Anolis sagrei: one gene and its partner. The protein of the gene in region 2 interacts with the protein of the main gene of each other region in a pairwise test. Links are inferred from orthologs where the notes say so. Each region holds a gene or a part of one and is shown on either strand. Other genes may lie near its edges.

Evidence for each region.
Region 1: the proteins of APPL1 (region 2) and FSHR interact in a two-hybrid assay, tested with the Homo sapiens proteins (2 studies listed by BioGRID). The link is inferred for Anolis sagrei from reciprocal best matches to the Homo sapiens genes APPL1 and FSHR.

The regions. Positions count from the first base shown.
Region 1 is NC_090021.1:20,246,979-20,259,370, reverse strand, and holds the start of FSHR (follicle-stimulating hormone receptor), read right to left. Parts: upstream 5,659-12,392; 5' UTR 5,648-5,658; coding exon 5,484-5,647; intron 1-5,483. UniProt on the Homo sapiens protein: G protein-coupled receptor for follitropin, the follicle-stimulating hormone. Through cAMP production activates the downstream PI3K-AKT and ERK1/ERK2 signaling pathways.
Region 2 is NC_090022.1:57,953,609-57,965,927, forward strand, and holds the start of APPL1 (DCC-interacting protein 13-alpha), read right to left. Parts: upstream 6,370-12,319; 5' UTR 6,263-6,369; coding exon 6,209-6,262; intron 1-6,208. UniProt on the Homo sapiens protein: Multifunctional adapter protein that binds to various membrane receptors, nuclear factors and signaling proteins to regulate many processes, such as cell proliferation, immune response, endosomal trafficking and cell metabolism.

The DNA of each region.
Region 1 (12,392 bases), on a different chromosome or scaffold from region 2:
TCTCACACCAGAAACAACTTGCAGTTTCACAAGTCACTTCTGACACGATAAAAAAACCCTGCCATGGCTCAATGCTTTTGAATCATGGGAATTGTAGTCTGGTGAGGCACCAGCACCCTTTGGCAAAGAAGGCTAAAGACCTTGCTGGACTACATACCAAAGATTTCAATGCAATGAGTTATGGCAGTTCAGGTGTTGTTATGGCAGAACTGAAGACCGACAGGTCAGAGGTTCAAATCTGGGGAGAGTGCAGATGAGCTCCCTCTGTCAGCTCCAGCTCTCCATGCGGGGACATGAGAGAAGCCTCCCACAAGGATGGTAAAACATCAAAACATCTGGGTATTCCATGGGCAACATCCTTGCAGACGGCCTCTTCTCTCACACCAGAAGTGACTTGCAATTTCTCAAGTCGCTCCTGACACGAACAAAATGTGTTGTCAAGCTGCATTAATTCTACAGCACAAATGCAGTCCAAAACTCCATGAAAACTTTCTGTCCTGAGTCCATTCTCTCAATGTAAAAATCTGAACACATAATAGAGGGTCAAAATGTGCTCTTGTCCTGTTGCTGTTGCCAATTAAAAACCCAAGAGTGGAACAGGGTTGCAGGCAGAAGCCATAACAAATGAGTGTATGATGGGGTTGCTAGACCCTCGGCTACTGCCTGGAGTTTCGGTGGATTGTTCCCAGGCGGCAGGTGAAGATTTAAACTTTCCAGTTGTCATGGAGTCAGTCAAGAGATAAGGCTGCATGCAACCTTTTGCTCAGGTAGGGAGCCTTCTGACTGGCTGGGCAGCTTGCTGTGCTTTGCAAAGGTTAATTGTTTTAAAGCCAGTGTTTCAATTTGCAAAGACATTTAATTTCCAACCAGGAAAATAGGTTCCAACTCTGCATGTATATTTTATGTTTGCACAACAAGCTGTGTGTGTCAGAGAGATTCTTGCTTAATACATAATGTGTGATGACAGCATTGGGCTCCATCCTTGTGACATCATCAGAGCCCATACTGAAGATCGACAGGTCACAGGTTTGAATCCGGGCAGAGGCAGATGAGCTCCCTCTATCAACTCTAGCTCCTCACGCGGGGACATGAGAGAAGCCTCCCAGAAGGGTGATAAAAACATCAAATCATCCGGGCGTCCCCTGGGCAACGTCTTTGCAGACGGCCAATTCTCTCACACCAGAAGTGACTTGCAGTTTCCCAAGTTGCTCCTGACACAACAAAAACAAAATCAGAGCCCATTCCTTGGTCTCATATTTTGAGATCAATAGGATCGTCTTGCTTCCTGTCTAAAGAAAAGCTCATATAATTGTGATTGCCTAATTGAGATTAATGGTTGCTTCACATGAGAATTAGCTAACATGCAACCTATGGGCAGCAATCAATCCCACACCCCCCTGAAATCCTCCTGGCATTACTTCAGAGGAGAAATTCACTTAGTTTGATTCTTCTTTAAAACAAACTCTAATCTAGACCTAACTTAGGCATAAAGACTTCTACAGATGCGGACTGCAGCCAGGGAATCAGAAGATGTTTACTTCTTGGGAGGAGAGAAATGACCGATCTTGATAAAACGGTTAAGAGTACAGACATCACACAATAAAGGTCCGCATAGTTAAAGCAGTGTTATTCCCCATAGCAACCTATGGATGTGAGAGCTGGGCCACAAGGAAGGTTGAGTGAAGGAAGAGAGATGCTTTTGAACTGTGGTGTTGGAGGAAAATACTTGGACTGCAAGAAGATTCAACCAGTCTGTACTTCAGAAAATAAAGCCCAACAGCTCACTGGAGGAAAGGATATTAGAGGCAAAGATGACATACTTTGGCCACAGAATGAGAAGACAGGAAAGCATGGAGAAAATAATGTTGCTGGGGGAAACTGAAGGAAAAAGGGAGAGGGGTCGACCAAGGGCAAGATGGATGGATGATATCCTTGAAGTGATTGGCTTGACCTTGAAGGAACTGGGGGTGGCGATGGCCAACAGGGAGCTCTGGCGTGGTCTGGTCCATAACATCATGAAGAATCGGAAACAACTGAATGAATAAACACACACAGACCTAACTTTGATCCTCCATCCTTTTCAAATGTTTCTAGGAAATCTGAAATTGGCTTCCAGATAGTTTTGGTTTTGGAGGGAAATAGGGTAATGGTGAAGAAAAGCCCACCAAATAGGAGATATACACTCCTAAGTCAAATTTCTTGTTAAGAGACCACATTTATGAATCATTCATGGATTGTGAGTTAGAGGAGATTCAACATAGACAAAAAGAGGATTTTTTTTTACGTGGCACACAGTTAAACTATTGAATTTTCTTACACAAAATAAGACAAGGATGGGGAAGGCTCCTTCTTTGGAGGCTTTAAAGCAGAGGCTGGATGGCTATCTGTTAGGGTGTGCTTTGAATGCGATTTTCCTGCTTCTTGGCAGAATGGGATTGGACTGGATGGCCCACGAGGTCTCTTCCAACTTTATGATTCTATGATTTTAAAAGTATGGCCTACAAAGATCTAAACATGCAGCAAACTGACCAATTGCTTTTCTTGGAAATTTCTGGGGGGGATGGGGACAACTGATCAATGAAGTGTGGAGATTAGGTGCAGTTCTCCAAGCTCCCAGGAACACACTTTCAACCATTTCCTTCCCAGATATTGTTAATACTCTCCCCATCCATAAATGTATCATGTACTCCTAGGTATTATGAATATATGACTTTTCAAAATACTGTCAGCCACTCAAAAGAAAGCATTGTGGTGGCTATCACAAGTATTCTTTACTATATATTTTGATCCACAGGTTCTCCTCCTATTAGTGAGTTCAAATTGCCACTTTTTATCTCTCCTTGCTCTCATCCGGCTTTCTTCCAATTTTGGATTGTTGAATGATTACTTAAACAGGGGGACAGATGTGGGAAATGGATAAAAAGACCTAAGAGAAAGAGAAAAGAGCTGCCACTAAAATATATCCCCAGATTAAATCTGAAACAGATTTGGGGATGCTTCTTTAGGTTAATAGTCTAAGGAGGTTCAGAGAAAGGTAACAAAGTTTGTGTAAGACTTACTAAAATCTGCCTAAGGGGGTTGGGATGGTTCTATTTATTTAAGAATTTAATCAGATTTTGTGTTGTCGAGGGCTTTCATGGCTGGAATCACTGGGTTGCTGTGAGTTTTCCATGCTGTATGGCTATGTTCCAGAAGCATTCTCTCCTGATGTTTTGCCCACATCTATAGCAGGCATCCTCAGAGGTTGAGGGGCCTGTTGGAATGCCCCTCAAATGAGGTTTCTGTATCTGTGGATATATATCTTCTCCCATTCTGGACATTTCACAGATATATAAACCTCACTTGCCTAGTTTTCAAAAGACCTCACAACCTCTGAGGATGCCTGCCATAGATGTGGGCGAAAGGTCAGGAGAGAATTCTTCTGGAACATGGCCATACAGCCTAGAAAACTCACAGCAACCCAGGGACCAGATTTTGTCTGATACAAATGGCAACATCAATTTCTTCTTAGGCATTTGGTGTGGTCAATCCTGGTCATTGTGAATTCTGCATCCACAGATTCAACCATCCATGGCTTGAAAAGAAAAGAAATCCCCAAAGAATTTTTTTTCTATGCCATTGTATATAATGAGACTTTGATACTCATGGATATCCACAGGGGTCCTGGAACCAAACATGAGTAGATACTCAAAGCCCACTGAATAAAAAGATATATGAATACAATCAGGACATGCAATTAAACATCACAATGCAAATTGTTCCTGTTTAAGACTGCAACCAGCTAGTCATCCATTGTCCTCTTCAAGTATACTCCATTCCACACATCCTTCTCTCTTTAACTTCCTTCTCCTTTTCTTCTTTATCTTCCAAAATTCAGTCAGGCACTCTTTGGTCACTGAGCCTGCTCAGTCCCTATTATGCTTCCTGCTTCTATCCTTTAGGACCCCTGCCTCTTGTAATTCTGTAAATCTGTTAATTCCCTCAAGACTTAGGATATCTCCCTATTATGTTCAGGCTACATAGATCCATGCTCAAAGAATAAGATTGGTGCTAGCCAACAGTCCAAATACACCCTAATTATAAGTTGCTAAATGAAGAAGTCAACAAAAATGGTTATTTTTCCAACAAACAAAAATACCAGCACACTTGTGGCATAATTATTTTTTAAATTATTATTTTATGAAAATGTTGTGCCATAAAGTACCCTTTAAGGTGAATTGCATGGCATCTATCATGACTTCTTGCACTCTCCCATTAGTGGAACCATAACTGGTCTATAAGTAGGAGCCCCCGGTGGCACAGTCAGTTAAACCACTGAACTGCTGAACTTGCTGACTGAAAGGTCGCAGGTTTGAATCCGGGGAGTGGTGTGAGCTCCTGTTGTTAGCCCCAACTTCTGCCAACCTAGCAACTTGAAAACATGCAAACATGAGTAGATCAATAGGTACCACTCTGTCGGAAAGTAATGGCACTCCATGTAGCCATGCTGGCTACATGACCTTGTAGGTGTCTACGGACAATGCTGGGTCTTTGGTCTAGAAATGGAGATGAGCACCAACCCCCAGAGTTGGACATGACTGGACTTAATGTCAGGGGAAAATCTTTACTTTAACTGGTCCATATCTTTACTCAATGCATTTGTAGGCTAAACTAAAAATCGGTTGTAATTTGGCTAAATGTGATGAAACTCCATATTTTTTTTAGTGATGACCACACAGCTAAGTGCTGGTGGTATATTTTAGTGTTAGCAAACTGGAGCCACATCTGATAAAGAACATTGGCTGTTTCAGTCTGTGCTAAAATAAATAGGAACTTTAAGTAACTGTCTTGCCGTTGAGAAATCCAACACAAGGAGCTGCCTCCATTTATTCTCATTAGTTGTTCTAGGACTGTTTCACTCTGCAAGGACTATTTGGTCTTTTGTTTGGACTTTATCTAAGATTCCTTTCCCTAGCTCCTTTTTGAACACATCACAAAGTTCACAAAGTACTTTTTGTGATCCGAAGGCAAACAGCTAACTTCTCACTGAGAGAAATGAAAAAGAAAGAAAACAGTTCTCTATATGGAATCCCAATGAAAATGCCAGGTTCTAAAAAAGAACCAACAACCAACACCACCAACATTCTTTATCAGATGGAATATAGAAAACCTTCAATTAAGCCAACTATACTTTGGCACACAAACTCTGTAGTTTCAGTTGCGTTGAAGTAACTGTGTTTCAGAAAGAATGTTGAGCACTTTCATATAAATTACTGGAGACACATCCAGAAAAAAAAAGTTGGCCGAGCTAGTCTTTGCTCATTTCAAAATGCTTTCGGGGAAGGGGTGAGCAGGTCAAATATTGTTTCTGGAGGAGTTGAGCATCCCTTTTAGAAGGCCGTCATCACTGTCCAGATGTTTTAGGAGCTCTTTCCCCTGCAAACCAGAGCCTGCTATGTAACTTGGCAACATTTCTTTGCTTGCTTTTCCCTCCCTTTACTCACAGTTCGGTGGAATTCCTGGGGATGTCCTTTGGCACGGAGGTCACCTTGTTCTCCTGGCAGATGAAGGCCATCCTGTTTGAGCATTGGCAGAGCGGATGTTGGCAACCTGAACAAGTCCCCGAGGGAAGCAGCAGCAGCAGGAGGCAAAGGTAAACCAGAGCCATCCTTGCCTTCACATTGCCCTCTAGTCTGTCCACTGAATGGCAAACTCCTCCTTGCTTCACACTCACATTCTCTCACTTCTCTGAAGCCACGCCTCAGAGGCCTGTGGAGAGTTACGTGAAGTCCAAGGAAAAGATCCTCTGTTTCATTGCTTCTCACACACATGGGTGTGTGTGTGCGCGTGTGCGTGTGCGTGTGTGTGTGTAGCAACATTTTCCACTCCATTGTGCCAAGGAACAACACTATGTTTATACCCACTGGGTACAGATGTTTTCTTCTTTTCTTCAAACTTGCCAGTAACCAGTGGCTGACTTTGGAGACTTTTAAACAGAGGCTGGATGGCCATCTGTTAGGGGTGCTTGGAATGTGATTTTCCTGCTTCTTGGCAGGGGGTTGGATTGGATGGTCCATGAGGTCTCTTCCAACTCTATGATTCTATGACTAGCACCAGTCCAGAGTAGCATTGCTCCATATGGACTATACCAGGCATGGACAAACTTTGGCCCTCTGGGTATTTTGTACTTCAACTCCCAAATTCCTATCAGCCTACTGGCTGTTAGGAATTGTGAGGGTTGAAGTCCAAAACACCCAGATGGCCAAAGTTTTCCTATGCCTGAGCTATACTCTGCCAGGGTCACTCAGACTAAATGGAAACAAGGAGCAGGGGGAAAAATGAGGGCATTGCCTCTCCAAACTCAAAATTCTGCCTTTTGGTAAAAGTTCTCTTCAGTGCCAAAATTTCTATCATTACACTGAGACACTGAAAATCATCTTCACCTAGAATTCTTACACTTGCAATGTTTGCATATGCAATGTAACATAGCCTGCCCTTACCTTTGGATACTTAAACTGTAATATTTATGGCTCGAATATTAAATTATTGTAATGATTGCAATTTGGAGAGTGAAGGAAAACTTCACTGAGTTAGGAGGCAAACATCTTTTTGGGAGGGATAATACCCTAAGTGCACCTCCCAGTCCCAATTGCTACACTCTTGTGATGAAGTGATGATGCATTTGATGCCAATAAACATTTACATGCAACATAGGATGGAGTCAGTGAAAAGGGCTATGGATGATGCTTTAGGTGATGAAAACAGTGGTACTTTTAAGAGACTAAGGAGAGAAAGGCAAGGTGGAGCTTGCCATGAAACTGGTGCCTTGCTTGTCAGTGGAGCTGACCCCAACCTCAAAATAAATCCAGCACTTTGGATAGCTCCTTCAAAGTTCACACTGACATGTAGATAAATTCCAATCCTTGCTGACATGGAGCTCACCAGCAACTTCAGGAGTGTTTTGGGGAGTGTTGACTCCTTTTTATGTGAATGTATGAAACTGCCTTATACTAACTCAGTCAGTTGGTTATTTTAGACCAGTATTTCCCAACCTGCATCCTTCAGATGTGTTGGATTAGAACTCTCAATACCCACACCATCATGACCTTATCTAGACAGTACTAGACATTTCTTAACATTTCAAGCAGAAGATCTTATGCTCTTCACCCATTGCATGAAATCCTTTGAAATGCCACATGCCATGCTTTATCCATGTTCACTATCCACTGTATCATACAGGTTTAGTTCATAAAGTTTAATCAAACACAGTTAAACATCCACAACAAGTATACCATCATAAAATGAGAAACCAGTTAAAACAAATACATCAATAAAGATATATAGTGCATCTTGTACAAGGCCTGATTTCCCTGAGGCTCCATCTGCACTGTCATATAACCCAGTTTCTGAATCCAGATTGTCTGATTTGAACTGGATTATATGGCAGTGTAGACCTGCATAATCCAGTTCAAAAGTAATATTCAGGATTCAGAAACTGGATTATATGGCAGTATACATCCAGCCTGAAACATCAATTCTCAAAGGACTACTTGAATAAAAAGGTTTTTATCTGTTTGCATTAGTGTGAATGCGAGCCTGGCTTGAACTCTTCTTCTTGACATATTGATTTAATTCTGCAAGCAATATCTATGTGGTGTTTGGATTCACATTCAATTACATAACAATTGTATCTTGTCTCTTTATTTGCAGCCTTATCATATAGGGCAATTGAAGTGTCCTAGGATGCTTTTGACCCGGTTCACCCATGGAGCCCCATGCCGTTCCTCAAACAATGTAGGTTGACTTTCAGTGGAGCTCCATAGGAAAACTGGAATCTGCCCCATGTTCCATAAGGAACAATGGGGCTTTGGCAGAGCAGCAATGCTTCCCCACAAGGGATGGAGAAATGTCAGCTGGCAGCTATTGACCTGCTGCCACCATAATTCACCACGAAGGCTGGTGAATCATGACAATGGACCTCACCCATGTGATGAGGTCCTTAGGTATTTTGCTGCAGCTTTCATCCACTTACAAACAAACAGACAGACAGACAAACCAAAAGAACTCACAGCAGCTAACAACATACCTAAAATCAGAGTTAATAATAAGAGCATTAACTCCATCCTTTGAAACAAATCCAACTATAAACCATTAAAATCAATAATCAGTAACGATCAAAACAGTGAAAAGGGTCAGTTGAAAGAGGCATGCCCTCACACCTTTGGAGAGTGAAATATGACCACAATACAGAAAGGAGTCCATTTCACAATTTGTAATTGAGAGAGATTTTTGGTGGCCCATTGAACATTTCCAGAAAAGCCTCCATAAATATCCTTGGAAGGGATGCTGCCTGTCATTCATTTCAGAGCTTGCCAAGTCTTTCAGTAGTGTATATAAACAAACAACAAAACGCTGGACTGCCTGCCTTGTTTTCTCTGACCCGAAAGCAGTCTAATTGCAACAAGACAAAGAAAGATCACTTGCAGTGAATGCGCTTTTGGGGTTGCTAAGAATGGCTCTGTAGTTGAGGTTTGATCTGTAACAATGTTGGAATGAAGCCTCTGGTTGAGTGGAGAGAATGGGAAACTCCAGAGAGTTGTGATGTGATGGAAACAGACAGACATTAAATCAATATGTAATATTTCACCAAGACTGAAATGGCCATGGTCCTGAGAAGGTTATCTGATTTAGGAGAACATTTTCTCCCCGGTGTTTCTGCTCAAGAAGGGGCTGGCTGACATCTTATTTTGTTTTGCTTTGTTTAGCCATGTTAAGATAGATGCTTATCTTCAATGTTGCAAGCAAATGCACAATGACATAACCAAACATATGGGTAGTTGAACACACACAGACACACACACACACACTAGTATTGCTACTGAATGGTGGCAAGTAGCCTCCATGCAAAGGTTAAGGAAATAGTTCCTATGAATCAAAAATGCTCCATGGGGGGACTATCTGTTGTATATCTCCATGATACTTTTCCTTCCACTGTTATACCAGGCTGGCTTTGCATTAGGCAGAGTGAGGTAGTTGCCTCAGGCACGAATAGCCTGTCACCGGTTAGCAATGACTGCATACTGCAGATATGTTTATTGGGGTTTTTGAACTAGATATCAAAATAACTTGACCACACTTGCATATAACGACATTAGTAATGATTTGGGAGATTATGATGATTTAAACTTCTGTTTTAGGAATCAAGGAGGAGTTGTGGCTTCCATGTCATTGTGGTGATGGATACATTTTGGCTTTCATTTTGAACTTCAAAGAACTTCTGGGGATAGGATTCAGCACCTTAGATAGTTCCTTAGAGATGGAGTTAAAACCAGGAATGTATTTGCTTCACTACAGGTATGGACCTCATGAGCCTACTCTGCTATTCGTGCTAAATAACTTTCATATCCATTTTTTATTTTTTAAAAGACCACAGTCTTCTTTCCATCGTGGCATGATATAATTACTTCCTTTGATTTTGTACAGTATGCATTTCAAAATGGATTCAGAGCCATTTTCCTTTGATTAGTTATTATTTGAGGGGATGCCTAATACTGGGAACCTCAAAGGACTTCTTGTGGCTCTTGAGGGGCAGAGAATCATACAAGTAATTGGAGAGGGGACTCCTATGACCCATAGGTTACATATTGCCCAATTGTGCCATAGGTCTTCAACAGACAATGGATTGTTCTTCTTTGGGCAAGGTATAGAGAATGTTGCTATCGATTCTTGCTTGAGGAAATTCTTTTGTCTTGGTTTACACAACTTGGGGGCTACAAACAATCCATTGTGCAAGGGAGGAGGGGACAAGTCCTATGTGACATGATGCACCGCAAAGGTATCAACAGTACTTAGATGAAAGAAAGTTTCATATAAACACAAAGATTGATTTTTTTTATCCTGCTGATAACTAGCAGTGTAATTCTTTATTTTTCAAATGAAGCAACAAGCAATCATAGCATTTTTCCTCCCCGTAAGTCTTTGAAAATCATACAGTTTTTGAAGGGTTTTGGGGTTTTGCAATCTGGAATGCATTCTGCACTAAATTTACACATGGTTGTTTTGTACAGAAAACATTTCTGGCCAGAAACAAATATTTTATGAATAGAAAATTCTGTTTTCTTTACAGAAAGTGATTTTTTTCATGCAAACTATCTACACATTAATTTTCTTTAGGATAAGTCCCTGATCACAGTCTTCTCTTTGCATGAAACTGGTTTTTTTCTGTGCGAAAAAAGAAAATGCTGTTTTTAAAAGCAAAACAACAACTTGTGAATTTTGTGCAGAAAATTTTTCAAGCTGCAAAGATTGTTGTCAGTTTTAAATAGGATTTCATTGACACTAAAAAGGTTTTTTAATAATTAACAATATTTTCAAATATTCTTTCCCTCCCTAACCATGACCTCTCTGGATATTAGAAGTCTTCCTGTTGGGAATACACCTCTCCTCATCTATATGGTAGTCCCAATTCTGCTCTGGATTTTGCCTCCATAAAACCAGGATTTTATCTCAATTGGATTTCTGCACAAACTTAAGTATTAACCTCATCCCCTGCTTTATGTTATACGTTTCAAAGTACTCTGCAATGAGCAAGTCTTCCTACATTTTCTAATTTCTTGACCCCCTAACCCCAACAGTTTAGGAGATGGGAAACAGCACTGTATGAAATAAAGGAAAACCACAGCACTGATGGAAATTTGAAAGAGAAATGAGAATGTTAAATTGTCTGCCTACTCCCTCACCCAAAGATGCAAATAAGGAACTAATCCCTTTAGTGGACTGAAAGTTTCTAGGATGAGGGCATGTTATTATAATAGAGAATGTGGAAGTCCATGCTCAAAGCTACAGTAAGCTGTTCCCTGACTCTTCTACTGTGAGAGGTTAGCTGGGTTTAGGGATGTGGATATCCCAGTTTCATTATGCCTTATGAATCCCACCTGCCTTTTCTTCATGTCTCTGTTTCATATGTGATTGTGAGACTTTGGTAGTCAACAATGTAGTGTATTTTTTTCTGCAAGCAGAACTATGTTTAATCTGTTCAACCCCCATCAGAGAAGTGTGACCCTATAGCTAGATGACCCTATAGCTAGATGCAAACCAATAATAATAATAATAATAATAATAATAATAATAATTTATTTATATACCTCTCCATCTCCCCGAGGGGACTCAGAACAGTTCCCAAGTAATATCACAAAACATACAGAGTAAAAACAACATAACTATAAGATTAACAAACAAAATATAAACATACAAATTGTCGCCACAACACACATATACAGGGTTAGTCAAAATGCATAGGCCAATAAGCCATTCAATTGAATGGCTTATTGGCCTATGCATTTTGACTAACCCTGTATTAAAAATAAGCCTGCCTGTTCAAGGCAATTAAAAATTTAAAAGGCTGGGCCAAGATTTGTGCAAGCCCCAAAATTCTAGGGGGCCCGGGAATTAAGTGCAATGCTATGGCAGGCAACAATAATATTAGGTATGGGTCTGTTGCTGTTCATTCTGGGGCTGATTAGAGGAAAGAATCTGGGTAACTGGTAGGAAGAATAAGGCCGTCTGGGTAACTGGTAGGAAGAATAAGGCCGTATTAGACAATGTGTGGGGCTGAGTTAGAACTGGTCATTTTCAAAGGCTTGTTGAAACCACCAGGTCTTCAAGCTCTTACAAAAGGAGGGGAGGGATGGGGCCTGTCTTATTTCCTTTGGAAGGGCGTTCCAGAGACGGGGGGCCACCACTGAGAAGGCCCTCTCTCTCTCGTCCCCACCAACCGTGCTTGAGACGGTAGTGGGACCGAGAGGAGGGCCTCCCCAGACGATCTTAGAGTTCGCGCTGGTTCATAGAAGGAGATGCGATTGTGGAGATAGGCAGTGCCCGAACCATTTAGGGCTTTATAGGTCATGACCTGCACCTTGAATTTGGCTCAGCAACTTATCGGCAGCCAATGAAGCTGTTTTCATAGGAGTGTTGCATGCTCCCTATAGTTACAGTTGACCCTCCACATTTTGCAGATTTAATTACTTGTGGATTTTGATTAAAAACATCCTCTCTAGGTCCTCCAGTGGTTTATTTTGAGTGGAGGATCACATTAAGTCACATGGGAAGAGAGAGGACCTCTAGGTCCTCCGGTGTGATTCTATGGACAACAGATAGAGAATCTCAGCAATACATGTGGAATCAGGTGGAGCTCTTTGGAGAATAAGATGGTGATCATAAAGTCATGCTGGAGAACGTAGAGATTCCTAGAGAAGAGTTATCTCATGTAAAAAATATTCCCAGGAAATGTGGAGGGCTGAATGTACATCACATCATTTGAGATCTACCAGAGCCTTTCAGAAATCTCAGTGATGATGTGTCCAGCTATGGGGGGAATAGTCAGAAACTTATGTGATTATCCATGCTCTCCACCA
Region 2 (12,319 bases):
TGGGATTTTTTTGGGAATTGTAAGCCAAAACACCTGGGGGTCCACAGGTTGAGAACCACTGTACTAAGGGAAGCAAGAAGGAAAATTCTACAAAAATGGTATAGGACTCCTGCACAACTTTCACCTTTTTTACCAGGTGTAAAGGACAGGTGTAAACAAAGAGGTGTTTAATCACATGATATGGGAATGCGATAGAATACAGGCATACTGGAGAATGACTGAAGGAGAAATTAATGAAATGTTAAACTTTCAAATAATAATAGCAATAGAATACTGTATATTACATGCAATGATACCAGGAGTGTATAATGTGCAAAAGGAAAGAGTGGCTGACAAATTAATAGTGTGTGCTCAAATTGTTTTAGTGAGGGGTTGGAAAGATAAAACAAAGTGGACTCTGACAAATTAGTATAACTATATAGTAAATATATTAAATGTGAACATAACAAATTGTAAACTGAACTATATAGATTAAAATAAAAAATGTTATAATAATTAAGAGTATGTGGGATCCAGTTAGGAATTACTTTAAAATGTATTAAGATGTGGAGTGGAAAAATTGACATTACGATGTAGCCCATTGTAACAATGCTTTTGGGTGAAGCTTGTGAAGCAGGTGAATATAGCACTAAATGTAATATGTAGAATAATCACAGGATGTTTTAAACCTACACATACGGATAGACTTTATAAGCTAACTGGCACTGCACATACACACACCCCCATGTGTGACAGGAAGTTGCGAGACAAATAATGCTTCCATCAGCCCTTGCCCGCATAGTCAATGGCAATGAATTCTGGGACCTGCAACTGAGCAATTTCTGAAATTGGAATAGGAAGAATCTAAGACATACATAAATTCAACAACAGTATAAAAAGACTAAACTGACTGGTGGGGAGCCCCTGAAATGGAAGTACATACCATATTTCCCCTAGCAATTCATAAATTTATTCTGGAATCAATTTTTACAGGATGGTGACTACCATAACTAGAGAGTTTTTCAGCCATAGCATGATTTATGGGTAATGTGTCAATCAATACTTGTACAAAGCAAAAAGTGGAAATTGCATATTCAATGCAGATTATTCAGTATAGTTGATGCTTCCAGTTAAGAGATGCTGATGACACATAAAATGACCTGCTACTTCCAGCTGGTCTTCTTTCCATACTGGACTTAGATCTAGCTTCTGAGTCACCAATTACAGAGATAAATAGTCCTGTGTATGCCTTCTAGAGTGGATATTTTGAGATTTTTTAAATGTATGCTGGGATTTTTTTTATTTAAGGAACCCTTCATTTTCACACTCACGAGAATCAACTATTAAAAGAACACAAATTACTACTTTTGGTTTTTATATTGCCAGTCACTACCAATAACAAAGTTACTGAAGTCTACATCGTATATTTCATAAGCAAATAACCTGGAAATCCTTTGCCATTATTGACATCCCCAAGCTTTAGAAAAAACAACTTAAGAAACCAAAATTAACCTTATTCTAATCTGTGTTCCAAGGTCACAGAATGCTATTGGTCTGTTTGGGGTGGGATAGAAAATACACCAGGTCATCTGGTGGTGCAGTGGGTTAAACCCCTGTGCCAGCAGGACTGAAGACCGACAGGTCACAGGTTTGAATCCGGGGAGAGGCGGATGAGCTCCCTCTATCAACTCCAGCTCCTGGACATGAGAGAAGCCTCCCACAAGGATGATAAAACATCAAATCATCCGGGTGTCCCCTGGGCAACGTCCTTGCAGACAGCCAATTCTCTCACACCAGAAGCGACTTGCAGTTTCTCAGGTCGCTCCTGACACGACCAAAAAAAAAAAAACCTGGAAAATGGCACTGTTAGCTAGATGGCAACATTGTACCTCACACTATCACATATTTGGTAGGAAGGGCCCGGCTATGGTCTTTTACAAGCAATCACCTATCACTCTAACACATGGGAAAATATCTTTCACACAGAGACATACAAACCAATGTTTCTCAGTAAGAGGTGTTCAGAAGGGTTTATGCCTTTACCTTCCTGAGGCTGAGAGAGTGTGACTTGTCCATGGTCACCTAGCAGGGACTTGAACCCTGGTCTCCAGAGACATAGTCCAACATTCAAGCCATTACATCACACTGGCTTCCTTGAAGGACTGATCACTAGCCTTTCTAAAATTTCCCTCACTCTCTCAAGTGTAGATGATCACTGAAGAAATTGGTGGTTTTCTTTTCCAGTTGTGATTTTCTATTGGCAAGCCTTTTCTTTTACTGGTTCAGACATTATATTCCGGGCTTGCATGTATCTTTACTTCATTGCACTGGTATCACTGAGTCTTGAGCCAATCAATCTGGATGTAGACATCTGCAAAGTCTTTCTAAACTATTTACCTGAGCCTGAGATAGTTTCTCTAATCTATTTTGTATCAAGAGTCATTATTTCTGAATGTTTTTGAAACACATTCTCAAAATTCAGTGGTACTTAAATCTAGTTGTGGTTATGTTAACATACAATCCTAATGTAAAGCAATGTCTTCAAGGCTCCTCAAAAAATTATGGACTCCTCTATCAATAATGGTGGCCAAGCTGCTCACTTCATCTCAGTGCAACATTCAAATAGATGCATTCTCAGTGTGATAGCAGAGACTCACAGGATTGAGCACTCTTTCTTATGACACAACTGGTTTGAGACCTAAAATATGATGCAGAGTCTTTACACATCAGACAGATCAGGGTGGAAAGATTCCCCCCCCCCCAAAAAGAAAGAAAACTGTAGTCCAATTTAGTGAATCGAGCAAGCAGCCAAAATTAAATCTGAACATTCATTTATTATTTCATGTTCACCATGTCCAAATGTTATTTCATACTAGTAAGTTTATTATGAAAGTTTGGCTCACTTAGCCAATAATGGAAGATCTCTTGTACTGAATAGGCAATGTGGTTTACATACAATCTCCTGAGAAATGAGTGATATGGAAAAATGTTGTCATCACAACAGTTTTACTCATTCAGCTTTGCAGATCACAACCCTCAAAGACATTTCACCAGTCTGCCTTTAACTGTGTGGAAAGTCTTGAGCAATGGTTTTGACAATGTACTGGCCAGCCACAGAACTTCACATTAAAGTGAAACATGGCTGTTAACTACAATGTTTCTCTGTCCCTTGATAAAACACCATGTATAATGTTAAATGGTTCTGATTGTTTATACATTTAATGTGGCTTTTCAGTTGTTTTCAGATAAAACCACATAAAACATAACACTAATTCACCTGCAATGCCAATCTATAGTTTGGTGTAATAAAATCCAGGTTAAAGGTATAGCTCTTCCACTCCTTGTGGGCTCTAGTTAAATAATTCTTGGTTTGTGGCAAACCATAGATTGTTGTAATAATGAAAGTACTAGGCAGTAGTTCGTGTTTGTTCTATGAACCAATACAGATAAAATCCTAGAAATCAGTGTTTCACTGAGGGGTTTCAGGGCAAGAAAAGTCACATTTTGGCATCATAAACTATAAACCAGGAGGCAACAATGTACACAAACAGTGCTATACAGACAAGGTTCGGCATCTTGTCTTGTTTGTCCAAACCGCACTGAATGTTTGCCGTGTATGTGTACTGTGATGCACCCTGAGTCCCACTGGGGAGATAGGGTGGAATATAAATAAAGTGTTGTTGTTGTTGTTGTTATTATTATTAAAAACAACTTGTAAGATTACCCCTAATTATACATTCATGGTTAAGTTGAGATTGAACAGGAGTTTCTTAGCTCATAATTCAAGACTGTAACCATTTTTTTAAAAAAAATCTGCTGATATATTTGACTAGAGAATATATAAACAAACTATCATTTGATGATTTTACAGAAGAATGCTTATTATTAAGAACTGATTCTGATAGAGCTTTTGGAGTATAGAGGTTCTATATAATGCAAAAAGTGTGAAATTACCACTAAATTTGCAATCTCATTCTTACTTGTAAGTAATTCTTGTTTGATTTGTGTTGGAGTAAAAATACATAGGATCAGGATGTAAGATAATACACACACTGTAGTTACAGTGCCATGTCAATGTGGATTATAATAAAGCCACTGCACTCAAATAGCAGTGTAAAGGGTAATTTATTGAGCTGTAAGAATCTTTTATGACACTTGCACACTATTGCAATTGCTGTAGCTAAGAGCACAGAACACAAAAAGTTAGGACTATAAAGCACTTCTCAAACAGCTTTGCAGATCAGAGTGCAGGAAGTATTTCAACCTCCTCATGTATTAAATATCCTATGCAGGAACAGATGAGAAACTATAGTTTACTCTTCGGGTAAATCAGAAGATATTGCTCAGCATCATTCTCTTGCCACACAGGACACAATGATGATTTTTCCATAGTTGAAACGAAAATCTCAAACTCTTATAACTAGCAAATTCATTACTGCCTTTTTCGGAATGAAAAAAACAAAACCTCTCAGTCTAAATTAAAATGTAGTGTTTAACAATTTCACACAATTCTAATGGCATACATTTGGCATTTCACCTTCAGACCAATGGGAAAGAGAAAAAAATACTGAAATATGCATATACCTATAAAATCATAGAGCTATCTAGTCCAACCCCCTGCCATGCAGGAAAAGCACAAAGTATAGATTAACATAATACAAAATAAATACATATGACATTATATATTTATTTTTATATTCTTATATTTTTATACTTTTACAATTTATTTATACAGATTTTAATGGTTTAATCTGATTATGGTGTCATTTATGAGGCCTGGCTAAGATATATATTTTAGCCAAGCTTGTTCAATTCTTCTATTTTTAAATGTGTATTAACTGTTTGCTTTAATTTTTAAAATTTGTTACCGCACATGGCATTGGATGTTTGCCATCTTTTCTTTTTGGAAGTTGCTCTGAGTCTCTCTGGGGAGAGAGGGTGGGTTAAAAATAAAGATTATTCTTACTAATAATAATACTTTTGAGGCAAAACTCTGAACAGGTTTCACCAGAAGCCAATTTAGCTAATGCAGCATTTAAGATGACAATCTCAGAGCAACCAATAAACAAATCCATCTGACCAAAGAGGAAGGGTGGAGTAGGCACACTGAGGCAGCAATTTGAATCCTTGCACAATATAATGATAAAATAAGAACGCTTTATTTGTATTCAGCTCTATCTCCCAGAGGGGACTCTCCCTCTCTCTCTCATATATATATATATACACACACACACACAAAACGGGAATATAATTTATCCAGATCTGCTGCTCTTTTCACGTTATCCTTGATGGAAATTGTAGTGCTTCAAAGAAATATTAGAGCAGTAGCTCCCCAGGTGTTTTGGCCTACAACTCCCAGAAATCCCAGCCAGTTTACCAACTGTTAAGATTTCTAGGAGTTGGGTTGTTGTAGGTTTTTTCGGGCTATATGGCCATGGTCTAGAGGCATTCTCTCCTGACGTTTCGCCTGCATCAGAGGTAGTAAGGTCTTTGGAACTAGGAAAATGGGTTTATATATCTGTGGAATGACCAGGGTGAGACAAAGGACCCTTGTCTGCTGGAGCTAGGTGTGAATGTTTCAACTGACCACCTTGACTAGAATATAATGGCCTGACAGTGCCTAGAGCAAACTTTTGTTGAGAGGTGATTAGATGTTCTTGTTTGTTTCCTCTCTGTTGTTGTGCTGTTGTAATTTTAGAGTTTTTTTTAATACTGGTAGCCAGATTTTGTTCATTTTCATGGTTTCCTCCTTTCTGTTGAAATTGTCCACATGCTTGTGGATTTCAATGGCTTGTCTGTGTAGGAGTTGAAGGCCAAAACATCTGGGGACCCACAGGTTGAGAACTACTGTATTAGAGCTTGTGGACACTTCTGTATAATTGGAGCATTCCTAACAACACGCAGGGCGCATCCACACCAGGCAACCTCAGCCTCCAGTTCTTAGAAGCCCCAGCCAGTATGTTCAATAGCCAGGAATTGTAGGAATTGGAGGGTGAGGGTCTACTCTACACTCTAGAGCAGGCGTGGGCCAACTTGGGCCCTCCGGGTGTTTTGGACTACAACTCCCACAATTCCTAACAGCCTACCGGCTGTTAGGAATTGTGGGAGTTGTAGTCCAAAACACCCAGAGGGCCCAAGTTGGCCCACGCCTACTCTAGAGTGAACGTAGTTTGGCCTTTCCGCCTTCTCTCCACACGCTTCGACGCCCAAAACGGGCCCAGCGACCGACCTGAGGGCTGTCCTCCAGCGTCTCCTCGATGGGCAGCTTGTCTATCCCGGGCATGGTGGCGGCTGAGTCTCCTGCACAGGCGAGGCCTCCCTCCGCGCCCTCACGACGGGCCTACCTCAATCTCCGCCTCAGCGCAACTACCGCACGGAAGTCCCGCCCCGGCCCCGCAGCAGGAAGGAGGGAGGGAGCCGCCCGCGAGGCCCCGGCGCCGCTTCCTATTGGCTGAGAGGGAGGCCACTCCGAGGAGAAGAGCGATGACGACATTAGCAAACAACCCCTGTGGTCCTCCAGCCTGTGTCTGTTTCCCAAAGCTTCCTCTCCTTCTCCTTTTGTAGACTTCAGGCACGGACCAGGAGCCACTCAGGCACTGATGCAGTTTGGCACCACTTCTAAACAGCCATAGCTGTGAAATGGTATAGAACATGTATTGAGGTTCCAGGTTTTAACCTGCCACTTTTGGACTCTCGCTTGCTGAGATGTTCCTGCAAGTATCTCTGTAGATCTTAAAAAGCTATTTATTGATTTAAGGTGTTGGCTTGCTGGCTGATACCCAAACAGAGGATGGGCCAGAGATATCAATGACTTGGTCCTTTAATTACAGGCTACTTCCCGATTGATGTCAGGTAGTGCTATATCAGCTACTTGACATTTCCCCAGTGGTTTTTTTGTGTTTTTTTTTTTGTCGTGTCAGGAGCGACTTGAGAAACTGCAAGTCGCTTCTGGTGTGAGAGAATTGGCCATCTGCAAGGACGTTGCCCAGTAGACGCCTGGATGATTTGTTGTTTCTATCATCCTTGTGGGAGGCTTCTCTCATGTCCCCGCATGAGGAGCTGGAGCTGATAGAGGGAGCTCATCCGCCTCTCCCCAGATTCAAACCTGCGACCTGACGGTCTTCAGTCCTGCCGGCACAGGGGTTTAACCCACTGTGTCACCGGGGGCTACTCCCTAGTGGTGTAGGGCGTAGACATGGGCCAACTTTTTTGCCTTGGGGCTGCATTGTGGGCCTGACCGAGATGGCTGGGCAGGGAGGGAGAGGGCCTGTGAGAGAGTGGAGCTGGGAGGGGGCAGGGCAGGACCCGGATCATCCTCAAATTCTCCTCCTGGCTTAAGGATGGGGCTGCTCACCTCATCCTTATGCCAAGAGGAAAATTAGACATGCAACAACTGCCCCAATCTTCCTCCCTGATCCTCCCCCAATCTTTGGACTGTCCTCTCAGCATTATGCTGGGAGGAGGTAAGACAGACGACAGCTGAGAGCGCTTTGGAGTGCTCTTAGCCACTGCCTTCCTCAGGCTGTCCTCTCAGCATAATGAAGGGGCCACTGGCACATTCCTTATGCTGGGAGGAGGGTGAGACATGCTGTGGCCGAGAGCATTCCAGAGGACTCTCAATTGTTACGTGCCTTCCGCCCCTGTCCCTTCTGCATAAGGATGCAGCAGGCCACTTGTCCTTATGCTGAGACGTCAGGGACAATGAGGAGAACCTGAGGTAAGCACCCAGGGGGCCACATCCGGCCCCCGGAGCTTAGTTTGCCCATGCCTGGCATAGACATTCTGTGATAACGCGGCATGTCTCATTAAGAGCCACATCCACTGTTTTCATGTAGTGAAATGTATTCCACACTGGGCATGTGTATTCAGCAGCAGAGTAGCGAAGCACAAGGGCAGATGCCTTCACTGTGTCTGGTTGTGATCCCCAGGTTGTGCCAGTCAGCTTTCATATGATATTATTTCTAGCATCCACTTCTTGCTTGATATGCAAGCAGTGCTTCTTGTAGGTCAGAGCATGGTCCAGAGTAACTCCCAGGATTTGGGTGTGCTGCAATGCTCCAGTGATAATCCTCAGAGCTCGAGATGCTTGTCTGTTCTTAAGATGGAAAGCACACACCTGTGTTTTAGATGGATTAGGAATCAGCTGGTTTTCCCTATAATAGGCAAAGAGAGCTCCTAAAGCTTCAGAGAGCTTCTGTTCAACCATTTCAAGGCTTCCTGTTTAAGCGGTGATGGCACGATCGTCAGCATAGATGGAACTCTCTGTCCATTCTGATAGTGGCTGGTTTTTGTGTAGATGTCAAACACTAATGAAGTCAGCACGCTCCCCTGAGGCAGGCCGTTCTTCTGTTTTCACCATCTGCTTCTCTGACCCTGGTACTCAATAAAAAGCTCCTGTTTTGTAGCAGATTGTAGTCCTTTTCAGGAGGAGGTGATGATTTACAGTACCATAAGCTGCTGAAACGTCTATAAAGACAGCTCCTGTAATCTGCTGCCTTTCAAAACCATCTTCTATGTGCTGAGTCAGGTTCAGCACTTGTGATGTGCAGCTTTTTTCAGAACATACACTGGTCTATTTTTTCCATAATTCTTTGCAGGATTAGTCTCTCCAGAGCTTTATAAAGATGTAGAACAAGAAGATTGGTCTATAGCTTTTTGCATCATTATGGTCTTTGCCTGGTTTCAAAATGACTATGACTCTTGCTTTCCTCCAGATTTTAGGGATCTGACAGGATGCAATGCAGTTGTTCATCAGCTTCAGCAGCCAGCACCATGCTTTTGGACCAAAGTTTTTAATTTGTTCCGTCTGTAGATCATCCAGGTCAGCTGCTTTGCCATTTTTACATTTATAGAGAGGCATTTCCAATTTAGTAGATGTGAAAGGTTCATGAAGGTTGTTGTTATTATCTCGTTGTCTAGTTTCCTTCCTAGTTTGGTGGTAAGGTTGGGTTTCCCGTTCTTCAAAAGTTGATGCACTATCTGATCTGCCTTTACGTTGGCATGGTTATTACTTTGTGAGGACTCATTGCTCAACCGTCTTAACAGCCTCCATGCCTTTTGACTACTCCCGCCCATATTGCCTTCTGTTATCAAGTTTATCTTTCTTGGCTTTAGAGGAGGAGGGCAAAATGCTTGCGCGGCTTGAAGAGTTTACTCATTAAATTGGTCTTCATCATGGAGCCTGTAATACTAAATGTCCTTTGTATCAGGAGTAATGCCCAAGGTAGTGTGTTCTGCAGCCTTTCAGTATAGAAGCCCATGAGTAGGTTTTTACTATTTCAATAACGTGCTCGTATTCTTCAGGGATTGGGGTGACCAGTATGATATTGTCATCTAACACATCTGAGAATTTAAACCAGCATTGAATATAATTTAAGACAGCATGGTATAAGGTTTTGAGTGCTGCAGTATAGTGTTGAGAAATTAGGATTTGAATCCCCACTCAGCAATAGAAAAAAAAACTGTGTCACCTTGAGCAAGTCACACTCTCACAGCTTTAGAGAAAGTCAAGGACAAAGTGTCTCTGAATGAATTCTGCCAAGAAAACCCCATGATAGTGTCACCATAAGTCAAAACTGACCTGAAGGCATGCAAGAAACATTTTGCTTATCTAGTATGTTGCTTACTTAGCTAAGTGCCTGATACTAAACAAGTTGAAATCAAACAGGCATTACTTACAGTAATGATTTTGGTTTACATATATTGTTTGTGAACTCGAGATAAAAGTAAGAATTGCTCTTAGTATGAAATGTTTGTTCTTTATGAGATAAACTGCCTTAGAAAAGACCTTTCATACAATAAATTATTAACGACAACTGAATCACTTGGTCATTATGTGTTTAGGTATTCATTTTCTTCTTCTTCACGGGTTTGTCAGAAATTCTAGTACAGCAGCAAAATAGTCTCATGTCTCTTTTAAAAATTAAATTGCGAAATGAAGTTTATTTAATTCTATTGCTAGCAAAATACTTACTAGGGTGGTATGCTAAAGATACATGTATTGAAATAGTAAAGTGCACACCCTCAAGGTAGTGTTGTATTTTATTTTTCTAGTCTAGTGCCAGCTATTGTGATTCTGGCTGTGCCACTGAGATATAAGAAAGGGAGAAGGAGAGATCCTCTTAGTATGCCACTCTTTAGTTAACTTTCTGTCTACCAATTCCCTTATTTATCCTCTTGGTCTCAGGAAAACGACTCCCCTGATTCTCATGTAGTGTGGCTAGTCCTCCTCCATCCTACTCTTCCTGGCATCTCACATTTTAGTTACAATTTCAATTTCTTTTGACTAAAAAATAAAAGTTCTGTTTTAATTTAGTGCACAGTGTCCTCCCGTTGCTATTTTTAAAAAGGGGTTGATAAATTTCATGAAGGTATTGTAAACACTAGATGGCAGCATTATAGAGCTGTTGTTGAGTGTTGATTCTACAGTATATAACATGAAACAGCAGTAATGTCAGTAATGAAAACAAATGTATTCAATTTGCACAGTTCATCTATTTTTTCTGTTACATTTTACCATCTATCTATACACACATTTGGCATTTCCCCCTTTAAAGAAAATCAGTTGTATCAGGGGAGTGGCATCTATTCACAGCTAAACAATAGTAATGGGGAGAAACTGTTCCAAGACACACGGAAATTGGAAAAACTAAGGACCAGGAAAGCACATCTACTGTGCTCCCTGACTTTCCTTCTATGCTGCAGAGACACAGATACCATCCCACAATTTCTCGCAGCCAGAAGGCACCCTGGTCATTCCACAGATATATAAACCCATTTTTCCTACTTCCAGCAGACCTCACTACCTCTGAGGATGCTTGCCATAGATGCAGGTGAAACGTCAGGAGAAAAATTGCCTCCAGAACATGGCCATATAGCCCGGAAAAACCTACAACAACCCAATAGTAATGTTTGCTACTACCCCCACACACGTAATATTGTTTGGATACTTCAGATTAAGTTTCAAGTATATGCTCAGTGAAATAGGAGCCTGCTACTTTTTAGGTTTTTAGTTTTTTGTATGAAAACCAGAACTTGGAAACTTTATTTTTCCTTAAGTACTTTCTAGCGAGCACCTGGCCAGGTATATGCTGGAATACTTAATAAAGTGCAACAATAGAGCAGAACTAAAATCCTTTAAACATTAAGCATTTCCTCAGCATTTAAATCTAATTGACAGAAAAGCAGCATACACTGGGACAGGGTTTGGTTCCAGGACACTCTCCCCCCATAGATACCAAAATCTGTGGATGCTCAAATCCATTAAATATAATGTCATAGTAAAATGGTTTCCTTTATATAAACTGACAAAATCACAGTTTGCCTTTTGGATTTATTTTTAATATTTTCAAGCTGTGGATGGTTGAATCCATGGATGCAGAGTTTATGGTTACGGAGGCCAACTATATCATTTTCATCAGGGCTTAGTGCGGGGAGAGGTACAACAGGTGTCACTTGGTTTGTTCTGCATAATTGAAAATATTTTTTGGTGCAATCAGCAAGTTTGTTATATTTTTGCAGAGTCTTTCTTAACTCTCTTGCCCACTGTCTGTATTACTGCCCCAGATCGATCTAAAATAGCAGTCAACAGAAATTGCTGCCATTTGTTGAGAGGCTGCAACTCCCTTCCCATGCAAGGGCCCCCATTCCTCAAACACCATTGATCACTGCCCTGCATGTCAGAGCCCCATGCAATAGGTTTGTGAGGAATTATTTTCACTAAATTGGCCCTGGAGCATGTGTAAAAAGTGAGCTGCCATCCAAAATGGGTGAATCCAGAGCTGCCATAATTTCCAATATTGTTTCTTGTTGTTTCCCTTTATACTAATCAAAATCAGGGTGTGGATAATATGACAATAATTATTAATGACAAAAAGGCTAAGAGAAGCTGCAGCAGTTTTGCTTGAGTGTACATGTGCAGCATTTTTTTCGAAAGAAGCAGAGCATGCTTGAGGACTGGGATATCAAGGGATACCAAGATGCTTCTTATAATGCTATTGTCCTCCCAACTCTGTTATAGACATGTAAAATGTGGACCATCTACAATGTCACTTTCAACTTCTGGAATGATTCCATGAGCGTTGCCTCCAAAAAAATCCTGCAAATCTCTGAGGAACACAAGCTGACAAATGTTGGCATGCTGGAGGAAGCAAAGACCACCAGCAGTGACACGGTGATCCTCTGCCATCAACTTCACTGGATTGGCCACATTGACTGGATACCTGATCACCGTCTCCCAAAGCAGTTACTTTACTCTCAACTCAAGAATGGAAAACAGAATGTCGGTGGACATCAAAAGAGATTTATAAATGGACTTAAATCTAACTGCAAAAATTGTGCT